2 linked regions of the Oryctolagus cuniculus genome follow. The protein of the gene in region 1 interacts with the protein of each later gene in a biochemical or structural test. Links are inferred from orthologs where the notes say so. Each region holds a gene or a part of one and is shown on either strand. Other genes may lie near its edges.

Region 1 (7,238 bases):
TCCAACACATAAAACTTCTCCATCCTCATCAAAATCAACCTTTCACAAAAGCATCAGACACAGCAGTCACTCCCTATAAGGTGGACACTGTTGGCTCAATAGATAAATGATCTCCAATTATTCACTTTTTCTTGACTCTGCAACAAGGACAACATAGCTAAGTATAAGGTATCTCCCACTACCCACATCACAAGGTTTTTGAATTTTGGAAAGTGGCCTGAGTTGAAAGAGTAAGAGTCTGGATGGTAAAGACAAGTGTATCTGCTTTCCAAGTTGCTTACATCTGTTTTTATTATCCTGCTGATATCTCCAGGGCCCCCCACTGTTTTTTTGTTTTGTTTTGTTTTGACCAGGGCCCCCCACTGTTTTTTTGTTTTGTTTTGTTTTGACAGGCAGAGTGGACAGTGAGAGTGAGACTGAGAGAAAGGTCTTCCTTTGCTGTTGGTTCACCCTCCAATGGCCGCTGCAGCCAGCACGCTGCAGCCAGCGCACCATGCTGATCCGAAGCCAGGAGCCAGGTGCTTCTCCTGATATCCCATGCAGGTGCAGGGCCCAAGCACTTGGGCCATCCTCCACTGAACGCCTGAGCCACAGCAGAGAACTGGACTGGAAGAGGTGCAACTGGGACAGAATCTGGCGCCCCGACAGGGACTAGAACCTGGTGTGCCGGCGCCGCAGGCGGAGGATTAGCCTATTGAGCCGCAGCGCCAGCCCACTGTTCTTTTTTCCTATTTAAGTGCCTCCTCCACATTTAACCACTTAACAAAGGCAACATATAATTATGAAAACTCTATACTATAGGAAGAGCAGAACTACAGAGAACAACCAGATATAATCCTGCCTTCAAAGAAAACTTAATATGGTAGAGGAAAGAATTTATAAATTCAAAAATGAAAACTAAAAATATAAAGTGTTACGGGTTTTAAAATGTGAAGAAGTTTCTGATTGAGAAAGAAAATATTGCAGAAGGGAGGGGCTTCTTCTGGGAAATGATGTTTGAGTTGAGCCCTCAAGAATAAAAACAGTTGTCAGAAGAGTGTGTTGGGAAGAAGGGTAAACATGTGCAAAGGCCCTTCTCTCCAAAGGCTTACTGCTTTCTCCTTTTCCTGTTCTCATTGTGTGGGTCTTCCACATCTTGTCCTGGTTTTTGCTTGATGCATAGATGTGCCGGTCCCTCCCCCATCACTCCCATACTTTCTTCTTTCCCTTTCAGTCACCATGTAATGTAGAACTAAAAAATGCTTAAATTATTCATTAAACAATAATTAAATTATTTACCTTAAGGTAAATAACTTATATGCTCTTAATTTTTTTTGTTTGTTTTTGTTTTCTTTCTTTCTTTTTCTTTTTTTTTTTTTTTTTTTTGACAAGCAGTTAGACAGTGAGAGAGAGAGAGAACAGAGAGAAAGGTCTTCCTTTGCCATTGGTTCACCCCCCAAATGGAAGCTACGGCCACTGCACTGTGCCGATCCAAAGCCAGGAGCCAGGTGCTTCTTCCTGGTCTCCCATGTGGGTGCAGGGCCCAAGGACTTGGGCCATCCTCCACTGCTTTCCTGGGCCACAGCAGAGAGCTGGACTGGAAGAGGAGCAACCGGGACAGAATCCAGAGCCCCAACCGGGACTAGAACCCAGGGTGCCGGCGCCACAGGTGGAAGATTAGCCAAGTGAGACACAGCACCAGCCCTTATGCTCTTAATTTTTTAAAGTAGGTTGAATGTGTGTGTTTTCTTTAAGCAAAAATCTGCAGAATTTCATTTTGTGCCACTGAATTGATTTTCCTCCTTGTAACTCAGTTTAATTTTACTAGGAGCAGAAGCAAACATTTATAATTTAGCTGCTAAGTGAAATAAAGTTCAATTTCACATAATCACTTTCATAATACTTTTCAGATATGTAAACTAAAACCAAACCTAATGTAAACAAATCTTATAGACAGATTCTGCCTAAGTACCCATAAAAAACATTAAATATTTTTCTGTCTCCTTTATAATCATATGTCTAGAAATCTGTTCCAAGATTTAAAACAGGTACAATTGTAGAACAAAATTCATGGCCTCAAAATATAGCTTTCTATAAAGTCTCACTAGGATGATGCATTTAGTAATATTAGTATATAATATTTTTACAGCACCCATACCTTGTTATCTTCCCAATAAAGAGCAAAACATTCATCTCCAGGTTTCCACATTTTTGCATACTCCAAAGGAATAGAAGATTCTAGTACTTTTTCTGGCTTAATTGGCCCAGATCTTCTTTTGGGCCCACTATTGTAAAATATTTTATCATCATAGGGTACAGTTGTGATGGGTCCTGCTGGTTTAATAGGTCCTACTCGTCTTCCTTTCAGTGGCATTTCTGTCTCTCCATTTGGAACACCAGTGAAACTATTACTTCGGACAGGATTCTGGTAATCAGTATTTACATTAAAATGTTTTTCAATCTTTATACCACTGAAAGCTTCATTATTTATTGTTCGTGATTTCCTGTCATAAAAATGGTCAGAATTAGCTGTTTGGTTTTCTCTTTTTCCACGTTTTTGATTATTATAATCTATGGATTCTTGAGGAAGTAGATTATCTTTAGCCTCCACACAGGATGGACCTTTTCCTGATCTGCTTTGCATGGAGTTATCTCTCTTTTTAAAAGCAACATCACTGTGCTGAGCACTTAAAGAATATGAAGTATCTTTAGTTCTGTCGTATCTAGAATATGGTCGATCACACTTGATTCTCTCTTCAGCCCATAATTCAGATCCCGAAGACGTACTTGGTCTTTCAGAACCTCTGTTTCTAGGTAAACTGCTTTCTAATACTGACTTTGAAATTTGGGAGTCCCTTTGGAAACGAGGAGGTTTTTCATTTCTTGGCTGCCTGGTATCATTTCGCAGGAGATGTCGTGGTTGATTATTGTCTTTTACTCCATTTTGTTCAGTATTTGACAATCTGTGTTGACCCTGATGAAGCTGCTGTGGCTGTGACTTAGGCTCTGAAAGGTAAAAGTATATAATATGTACATTAAAATGAAGACAATATTAGTACTTACTCATTTTAAGTGCCTAAAATTATCATCATAATAAATAATTATGCAACTACTACTATTTTAAGGTCTTCTTCCATTTTCTCACCTCAATATCTTCTTTTTTTGACGGGCAGAGTTAATGTGAGAGAGACAGAGAGAACCATCTCAATATCTAAATCCTCTGTGGTTACTTAGAGACCTGTATTTCCTATGTTTTCCTGGTTGGCCTCATTAATGAAGTAAAGAAATGATGTGAACTATAAAAAATGAGTAGGTAACCAAAAACTATTTGTCTTCATCACTGCATGTTTGCATTCTTATGATTATATAGATATCTACTCTGGTAATCCATTTCTCAAAACATTAAAGAAAAAGAAATGCAAACTGCTAACTCAGCTGTGGCTAGGAAACTGCACAACTACAACCTTGTTCAACATTTCTTTGAATCTCATTCAAACTTAGAAATGTATAGTTATCATTAGCAATCACATTCTTTTTTTTTACTTTTATTTGATGAATATAAATTTCCAAAGTACAGAATATTGATTACAATGGCTTCCCCCCCATAACGTCCCTCCAACCCGCAACCCTCCCCTTTCCCACTCCTTCTCCCCTTCCCTTCACATCAAGATTCATTTTCGATTCTCTTTATATACAGAAGATCAGTTTAGCATACATTAAGTAAAGATTTCAACAGTTTGCTCCAACACAGAAACATAAAGTGAAAAATACTGTTTGAGTACTAGTTATAGCATTAAATCTCAATGTACAGCACACTAAGGACAAAGACCTTTGCAAAACTGTTCCTCCTCAAATCTTTGAGTTTGCCTTTATCTCTGCATAGGACACGTCAACCTTTGCTTTTCAGAGTTACCTTTTCTTTTCTGTTCTGTTCTTTTTAAGCATCACCACCATGCAGAGAACTTTAAGGATATGAAGTATCTTTAGATCTGCCATATCTAGATTATGGTCTATCAGATATCCTATTACAAAAAAAGTAAATTTTCTTGACCTATCAAATTGACAGCAGGTACTACTTGGAAATGGATAAACAGACATAGAGAGTGAAGGTGCAGCTAGGCTTGGTAGGTATGGAAGAATCTGACTTCTGTTTTTTTAAAATAAATGAATAAAAGATTTCCTACTCTACAGTTTAGGATTAAGGAGTGCTTTGAGTCTATGAAACTGTATTGGAAAGTTTTTTTCAATTTTCTTCCTTTGGTTCCAGATCCAAGAATTTTTGTATATTTTAATCACTACTGTTACTAACATTGAATCTCTTCATTTATGCATTCAAATCACCCTCATATCAAATGTACTGTCCTAGAAAAGTGAACAAAAATTTTTGAACAAATTATTTTTATCAAAAAACAATTTTAGAAAACAGTAGAGGAAGGCCGGCGCCATGGCTCAATAGGCTAATCCTCCACCTTGCAGCGCCAGCACACCGGGTTCTAGACCCGGTCGGGGCACCGGATTCTGTCTCAGTTGCCCCTCTTCCAGGCCAGCTCTCTGCTATGGCCCGGGAAGGCAGTGGAGGATGGCCCAACTCCTTGGGCCCTGCACCTCATGGGAGACCAGGAGAAGCACCTGGCTCCTGGCTTCAGAACAGCACGATGCGCCGGCCGCGGTGGCCATTGGAGAGTGAACCAACGGCAAAAGGAAGACCTTTCTCTCTCTCTCTCTCTCTCACTGTCCACTCTGCCTGTCAAAAAAAAAAAAAAAAAGAAAGAAAGAAAAGAGTAGAGGAAAAAATCCATTTACCTCTTTTTCAGTTACTGAAGTAGTGCACATTAGACTACAGAATGAAAGAAGTAATTTTACCAATAATAAACATATTTAATTTTTTTACTATGCATAGATAATATACTGAGAGTAAAGTCTATAAAGGAAATTATCTTTAATAACTAAGAATACCTCCTAAGAATAAGTTAAATAAACTGTACTTTTAAAAGAAGATACTTTCCAAATATATCCATTTCAATCCAAAATGAAATCATACTCAAGAAAGGGAGGTTCTTAAATGCTTTACCATTCTTGGATTTCCTCAAATCCAGTGCATTTTACCTTTGGTAATTACATAATAAAGTCAGAGTTAAAGAGTATTCTGAAACAGAGGGAATTTACTTAATAAATAACAGAATATACTCAAATACTAAATTGTGACAAAGGTATTTGTATTTATTTATTTTAAATGATTGAATTTTATTTGAAAATCAGGAAGACAAAGTGTCAGACACTGAAAGATCTTCCATCCACTGGTTCATTCCCCAAATGCCTAGCCTAGGACTAGCCCATTTAGGGATTAATCTAGTGATTGAAAGATTCTCTCTTTCTAGCTTTTCAAATAAAATAAAATAGTTTTTAAGAAGAAAACACCACTGTAATTTAAAAACAAAAAAGAAAATACATCATCTTTTTCTTTTTTAAATGATCTAAAGGGAAGAGATGAAAAAAAAAACACAAACATTTAATATTAAATAGCAGAAAAAAGGAAAGAAAATCAGTAAAAATGATATAAAAATTGATTACAAAGCAGACAGACTGTGAAAAGCTAAAAGATCAAGGTAATGAAAACATAAATCAAAGAATGCTGCCTGCGTTTAGTGTGACTTGAAATAGAATGTTTCTATTAATCAGATCATGAATTTCAAAAGGCATGTTTAGAAGATAATTGACCACAATGTTATATCACCATTTGAAATGAAAGAATCACTCAGAATGAATTTATTGCACAAATAGAGTCTATATATGAAGATATCAGCACATCTTAAAATACTAATACTTTTTGCAGAATATTCAATTAATCAGCAGTTGTCCCTGCATTTTATAATAGAAAAAGGTACATTTTGTTTCCCAAGGTATTAACTAATCCTCATTTTATTCTGAGATATCCAACGGAAGTTAACACTTAACACCTTACTATGTGCCTGACTCCATGTTACAAGTATTTTGTCTACATTATTTCCTGTACTCCTACAACCACTTTAAAAGGGCAACATTATTATCCTTATTTAACAAGAAAAGAAACAAAGTAATATACCTCAATTAAAGGCTCCTGCTAGAAAATGTTGAACCAGACTGAAATTGAAATCTAACTGAAGCTAAAGCCCATGATTTTTCCCCTATGCCAAACTGCCTATCCAGAAAAACAAGACAGAATGTAACTAAAAAAATCTTAGAAACATGACAGAATGTAACTAAAAACACATTAGCTACAATTTTATAAACTGCATCTGTTAATTTCTAGTGAGATGAAGAAATAACAAATGCTATTTCACATTTGTATACTAGGACTGTCAGAATCCTGACCTAAAATTATAATCTCTTTCCCATTAATGAAGAAAAACTAAAACACCTAATGACATTTGAAATGGTATTCAGAGGCCTACAAACTGGCACTTTGAGATAGCATAAAGAATAGGGTATACCCTTCTGGAGAGGGACCACATACGTTTATATCATGGGTCTGCCACTTACTAATTCTATATCCTTAGGCAAAATATTTAACTTTGCAAGTCTCATCTTTAACACAGGACTAATAATAGAGCACACCTCACAGGATTAACTAGGTTAATATATGTTAAATATTAAAAACAGTATCTGGCTTTAACAAGCCTTCAGTAAATGTTATCTGACATTATTGCTGTGACTATCACCATTAGTATTGAAATTATATAAATAAACTTAACTAATGACATCAGCAAAAGTCATTAAGGATGGTAAGATGATTCCCTATTTATACATTTCCACTACCACCAATCTCCAACTTTAGTTACAGTCCTTAACTTGATGTAGCTTTTTTCCTCTTAATTTATCCTTTTGCTTATTTGTTTTCTTATTGAAAACAAGGCAGGAAGAACCTTTTAATATTGTTATAAAGGCAATATTATATTATTAAGAAAACTTTGTATACATCAGAAAATCAAAAATATTTTAACCTTTTCACTTAAAATTTAATATAAACATTCTTCAGATAAAAACTTATATCTTTAAAATTTTTCTACATAAGAAAGGCAAAGCTATATTTAAAAAGCACTCATACCTCTTTCATTACTAAATGCATAGAATGAATGTTCTATCTTCTGCTTATTCAAATTCCATCTCTAGATATAGCCATTATTAACAGTTTCAGAAGTTATTCTTTTTTATATAATTCATACAGGCATAAAAACATTTTGTTTTTAGCAAAAGTAAAAAAAAGCAGATCCATGCTATAT
Region 2 (6,004 bases), on another chromosome or scaffold:
GCTTCCGAAATCCACTTCCCCTGCTCATGTTCCTGCTCTACCAACACGAGTGTTCACTTGAGCTGCTGCCTTTAAAAAAAGAAAAAAAAAAAAAGCCCAATTGGATCAAAATGGCCAGAAACTGGCTCTTATGGTCAACCAGAGGGTGCACCGAGTTCAATCCTGTTGCTGGCCAAAGCCTGCAGTCTGACTTCCTACTTCCAAGACGGAGCTAGGCGAGGGCTAACGGGGTGCTGACATCCAACATTCCGCAGTGGGACTGGGATTAGGACTCGAGTCGAGTGGAGGATGAGCGGCAGGCCAGCCTGCCAGTGCTCGGCCCACCGCCAGCAGAGGGAGCCCCTGGGAGACAATGCACTTACACGGGTCTCCTTTCACGTCCGGGTCTATGCCCAGGTCGGGTGATCCTGCCAGTGGAGGCCTGGCGGTAGCCCGAACAACACTCAAGCGTCCGAGGAGTTCCTAGCTCAGTAGAAGAGCTGGTTAAAAAGAGGCTGCATCAGAATCTCCCTGGGGAAAGATGGAGAAATCTCACACTTCAAACAAACAGCTAGGAGGGAGACACACAGGGGAGCTCCTAAAACCATCAGTGGACGGGCACAGGTGTGGAAAGATGAGACATCTCGTGAGACAGAGCCCAGAGTGGGAGGAGGAAGAAAAGGCAACTCCCCTCTTGACTTCTGATGAGAATCAGGGGGCTTGGGAGGTCCTTCTGAGTCAGTCCCACCAGGAGCCCTTGACAAACTTCATGGTGCAGCCTGAACGGGAAGAGACATGCGAGAGTCACCCGGATGTACTCTTTCCTGATGCATCAGCCAGAGGGCACAGGAATCTCCACAGAGAAAAACCAATGGTGTCAGGGTTGGGGGGGAGGGGGTTGCAGGTTCTAATATCTTTTTTTAAAAAAATGCAAATCAGGGAGGGGCCGGCACTGTGGTGTAGCAGGTAAAGCTGCCAACTGCAGTGCCGGCATCCCATGTGGGTGCTGGTTCGAGTCCCGGCTGCTCCACTTCCGATCCAGCCCTCTGCTGTGGCCTGGGAAAGCAGTGGAAGATGGCCCAAGTCCTTGGGCCCCTGCAGCTGCTTGGGAGACCTGGAAGAAGCTCCTGACTCCTGGCTTTGGATCAGCTCAGCTCTTTCCATTGTGATCATTTGAGGAGTGGACCAGCAAAATGGACGACCTTTCTCTCTCTGGCTCTCTCTCTCTCTGTAACTCTTTCAAATAAATAATTCTTAAAAAAAAAAGAAAGAAAGAAGAAAGAGTCTTAAAAAATAATTCTGGCCCCTCCCCCACCTACAGAGCAGCCGTGGAATGTGGCTTGGGCAGGTGGGATGGGCTGCTGGCGGAGGACGCTGGATAAGGGATGCCTGAATATCCCATACTCTCGGGATGCCCTCAGAGAGAGGATACTAGGAGGACAATCCTGATGGGCCATCACACGGGCTAACTAACATAGTCAATAAACCGGCAGGGAAGGCGGGCATTGGTGACCCCCTTACAGGCTGGCTAGAAGGATACCGTGGAAAACGGAACAGTGCTGTAACTTCAATCCTCATCTCTCAGAACTGAGCTGGAGTCCTGAGCCAAACGGTTGAAGAACAAAGAATAGGAGTCAAAATGGGACCGAAAAAGTGTAAACATGGAAAGAGGAGGAATTCGCCAGCAGGTCTGGTGGTCCATTTTCAACACAGCGGGGACCTGCAGAGGTAGCAACTTCACTAGGCAAACTCCTGGTTGTTCCGGAGTAGCCAAGTCCCAAGGGGGAGACTACAGTGAGTGCAGGAGGTAACTCTGTAGCGCAGGGAGGTCTGGGAAGTGTACACCCGCAGGACTCAGCCAATGAGGGCCCTGCGTGCTAGTACACAGCTTGCTTGCCGTACCTGCTCTGGGTGTACCTGCTCATCGGACACCCGACCTTGCAAGACCGCTGAGGCCACCTCTCGAGTGCACAGTGTGGACAGGGGAGGGTATCCCCCACACCCTATACCCAAAGAATCAGAAAAGGAACAACCCTTTCTTAAGCTCCTCTGGGCCGGGCACGCCACGGCCATCAACACTGTTTCATTTAATCTCGCCAACAACTCTGAAGGGCAGGGACTGTCAGTTTTTACATTTTTCCCCCTCCAGATCACGAGTAAAGGGGCCAGTGTCGGTGACCCTGGCACAGGACCCCCAGTGCTCAGTGGCCATGACGCCCAGGTGGGGCTGGCCTTTCGCGTCCTATTCCCACAGGCCGAGGAAGCGAAGGGGCAAGACGAAGCCATCCCCTCCCCCGCTCCGACAAACTACTGCCCCTGGACCCCAGCTACTTTGCTCACTCCGAAAAGAGCGGAGAACCCGGGTCCCTTAGACCGCCCGGAAGTGGGCGCCGACCACGGCACAGCCTCCCGGCCCGGGAGGTTCAGACAGAAAGCGCTCGCCTCCGCGAGCCGGGGGAGGCCGCCAGGAGGAACAGTGGCAGCGCCCGCAGCGCCCGGCCCCCGCCCAGCGCGAGGCTGAGCGCGCAGCCCATCACCGCCTCCCGCCACCACCCCGGCGAGCGGGAACGCGAGGCCCGGCCCGGGACCCTCTCCTCAGCCCGGCCAGCACTCAGGACACCGGCCTGAAGACAGGCTGCGCTGCCTGCTTCCGCGAGCAGCCCCTCTCGGCGCCCGCTGCTCACCCGTGGCCCCACCGCGACTCGTCTCCGGCTCCCGCTCCCCGGGAGGGGCGGCCACTGCAACCCCGACTTCCGGGTCCGGCCGCTTCGGGCGTCCCCGCGTCCGTCCGATTCCCCCGTCCGACGGTGTCTGCGGGTCCCGGCGCTCGAGCGTTCCGGGGGCACCGCCCCGAATCCCCGCCGCCATCTTTGAGGGGATCCGCAAAGCTTCGCGTAGACTCCCGGGGGGCTCGCTGTCCGAAGGGGGCTCCCCAAACTCTCCACCCGGATTCTTCTCAGCTACGGGGAGCCAGTCATGACAGCCATCGTGCCAGTGATTGTGATGGTTACTAACAAAGCTACAGACGTGTGTGCAGCAGGCTTTCGTCAAAGCTATACCGTCTGTGGGATGCACGAACGGATGATGGGTGCAGAACACCTGGAAGATAAAAGTGCTTGTGTCCGGCGCTGTGGCGTAGCAGGTAAAGTGACCGCCTGCAGTGCCGGCATCCATATGGGTGACAGTTTGAGTCCTGGCTGCCCCACTTCCAATCCAGCTCTCTGCTGTGGCCTGGGAAAGCAGTGGAGGATGGCTCAAGTCCTTGGGCCCTGCACCTACATGGGAGACCTGGAAGAAGCTCCTGGCTTTGCCCTGGCTCAGCCCTGGCTGTTGTGGCCATCTCGGGGAGGGAACCAGTGGACAGAAGATTCTCTTTTTAGATTTATTTGAAACTCACAGTTACACAGAGAGGCTGAGTGAGAGAGAGAGAGAGAGAGAGGTCTTCCATCCGCTGGTTCACTTCCCAGATGGCCAAAACGGCTGCAGCTGCACCGATCTGAAGCCGGGAGCCAGGAGCTTCCTCCAGATCTCCCATGTGGGTGCAGGGGCCCAAGGACTTGGGCCATCTTCTACTGCTTTCCCAGGCCATAGCAGAGAGCTGGATCAGAAGTGGAGCAGCTGGGACTTGAACCTGCGCCCATAAGGGGTGCTGGTGATGCAGGCGGTAGTTTTACCCGCTACGCAGCGCTGGCCCCATAAATAAATCTTTAAAAAAATTTTTTTAAGAAAAAGATATAAGTACCGTTAGTGTTAGGATTATGGACGGATTGCCTCGTTATTTTCTCGCGGTGCTCATCAGTCCATGCGGCCCTCACCCGTCTTTTTTTTTTTTTTTTTTGACAGGCAGAGTGGACAGTGAGAGAGAGAGAGAGACAGAGAGAAAGGTCTTCCTTTGCCGTTGGTTCACCCTCCAATGGCTGCCGTGGCTGGCGCGCTGCGGCTGGTGCACCGCGCTGATCTGATGGCAGGAGCCAGATGCTTCTCCTGGTCTCCCATGGGGTGCAGGGCCCAAGCACTTGGGCCATCCTCCACTGCCTTCCCGGGCCATAGCAGAGAGCTGGCCTGGAAGAGGGGCAACCGGGACAGAATCCGGTGCCCCGACTGGGACTAGAACCCGGTGTGCCGGCGCCGCTAGGTGGAGGATTAGCTTAGTGAGCCGCGGCGCCGGCCTCTTACCAGTCTTCAACATGAGCTGGAGGTCACCCCACCCTGATCCAGGCCCCGCCGGCTGCCTGCAGGTCTCCAGGCCTCAGCCGACCCCTACCCCAGCACAGCGGTGACGGCTGAGGTGGGCTCTGAGCCGCGCAAAACCAGAGTTCCTGGGTGCAGTTAATGAAGCTCCCGCAGGGGCCAGCAGGGGGCGTGGGGGGCTCCGCTCTGGAGGCCGGGGTGTCTGCCGCTGCCCTGCGCCCTCTGCCGGGAGATCCTTGCCATTGCGCCCTCACGCTACACCACCTGGGTCATGCTCCCGGGGAGCCTTAGGGAGGTATTTGTATGCAGGGTGCCTGTTTTAAGGGTGAGCGGTTCCCCCACCCTGGGGCTCCAGGAGGCAGAGCCCTGGGGTGTCTCCTTCATGGCCTTGGCCTTCTCTCTCTCCTCTTCCTCCCTACTCAGTGTGTCTGGTTATGGTTGTGGCTACACCGCAACCCGGTACCAGCCTCAGCCAGGACACAGTCCCAGGCTGTGCATCCATAAGCACCCAAAGCAGCCAGTGGGGATCCCAGCTCAGTCCCCAGGCTCTGAGTTGAGCAACACAGCACGGCTTTCCTGCTGGGCTCCAGGCTGGGGACAAGGCTGCTCGGATCTGTCACGTCTCTCCTCCGTGTCACCTCCGTGAAGCTTCAGCCCCGGAGGGGAACGAGACACGAGGCTCTCATGGTCCCCATCACGGCCTCCTCCCTCACTCTGCTAAGGAGGCTGCAGCCTGGAGTGTGCAGGGTTGAATCGGCCCTGTCCTGTGCGTGTGTGGTACCAGCCCCGGCTGGTGAAGGCTCGAGTCGGCAGGCAGCACCTGTAATATGTTCTGAGATGGGGCTGGCACTGTGGCACAGTAGGTTAAGCCTCTGCCTGCAGTGCCAGCATCCCATGTGGTCACCAGTTCGAGTCCCGGCTGCTCTGCTTCTGATCCAGCTCTCTGCTATGTCCTGGGAAAAGCAGCAGAGGATGGCCAAGTGCTTGGGCCCCTGCACCCACGTGGGAGACCTGGAAGGAGCTGCTGTATCTTAGCTTTAACCTGGCCCAGCCTGGCCGTTGTGGCCATGTCACTTCCAGTGAATGGAAGATCTCTCTCCTCTCTCTATATATCTCTGCCTTTCAAATAAGTAAATAAACCTTTAAGAAAAAAAAAAAAGCTCTCAGACAGCGTGGGGTGCTGCAGGCACAGCTCTGAGACCCCAGGGGTAACCGTACCTCGGATACCTGGGCATCTGTTCTCAGTGCTCCCAGGGGCCTGGCCTGGTGGCTCCAGCCCCTGCCCAGGCCTTACATGCAGTAGACTCATTTTGAATTAACTTAAAAATAATTTATTTTTCATTTTATGAAGAGAGAGAGAGAGAGAGAGAGATATCTTCTATCCACAATTCATTCCCCAAATGGCTGCAATGGCCAGGGCTGGGCCAAACTGAAGCCAGGAGCTAGGAGCTTCCTGCTGGTCGCCTATGTGGATACAGGGGTGCAAGCACTTGGGCCATCCTCCACTACTTTCCCAGGCCATCAGAAGGAAGCTGGATCAGAAGTAGAGCAGCCGGGACCTGAACTGGTGTCCATACAGGATGCTGGTATAGCAGGCAGTGGCTTTACCTGATACACCACAGCACATGTGGTGTGAGGTAGGGAGCCAGCAGTGATGGTGTGAGTAGCATTCCAGGGTGCCTGCTGTTATCCTTGGCTGTTTCTGGACAGCTGGGGCCTGCCGCCTGTGTGTGTGGCAATGAGGTCATATTCGGAGTTGTGAGGATGATCTTGCTAGGAGGGAATGTCTTGGAAAGTAGCCAATCGGGACCTGGCCCAGAGCTCCCTGCCCTGC

What was found. The genes of interacting proteins can lie anywhere in the genome.
Region 2: the proteins of TDRD3 (region 1) and TOP3B form a complex in vitro, tested with the Homo sapiens proteins (2 studies listed by BioGRID and IntAct, with this or other methods). The link is inferred for Oryctolagus cuniculus from reciprocal best matches to the Homo sapiens genes TDRD3 and TOP3B.

The regions. Positions count from the first base shown.
Region 1 is NC_091440.1:52,155,665-52,162,902, forward strand, and holds part of TDRD3 (tudor domain-containing protein 3), read right to left. Parts: intron 2,986-7,238; coding exon 2,138-2,985; intron 1-2,137. UniProt on the Homo sapiens protein: Scaffolding protein that specifically recognizes and binds dimethylarginine-containing proteins. Plays a role in the regulation of translation of target mRNAs by binding Arg/Gly-rich motifs (GAR) in dimethylarginine-containing proteins.
Region 2 is NC_091452.1:28,899,517-28,905,520, reverse strand, and holds the start of TOP3B (DNA topoisomerase 3-beta-1), read right to left. Parts: upstream 2,801-6,004; 5' UTR 2,664-2,800; intron 759-2,663; exon of another isoform or gene 511-758; 5' UTR 363-510; intron 1-362. UniProt on the Homo sapiens protein: Releases the supercoiling and torsional tension of DNA introduced during the DNA replication and transcription by transiently cleaving and rejoining one strand of the DNA duplex.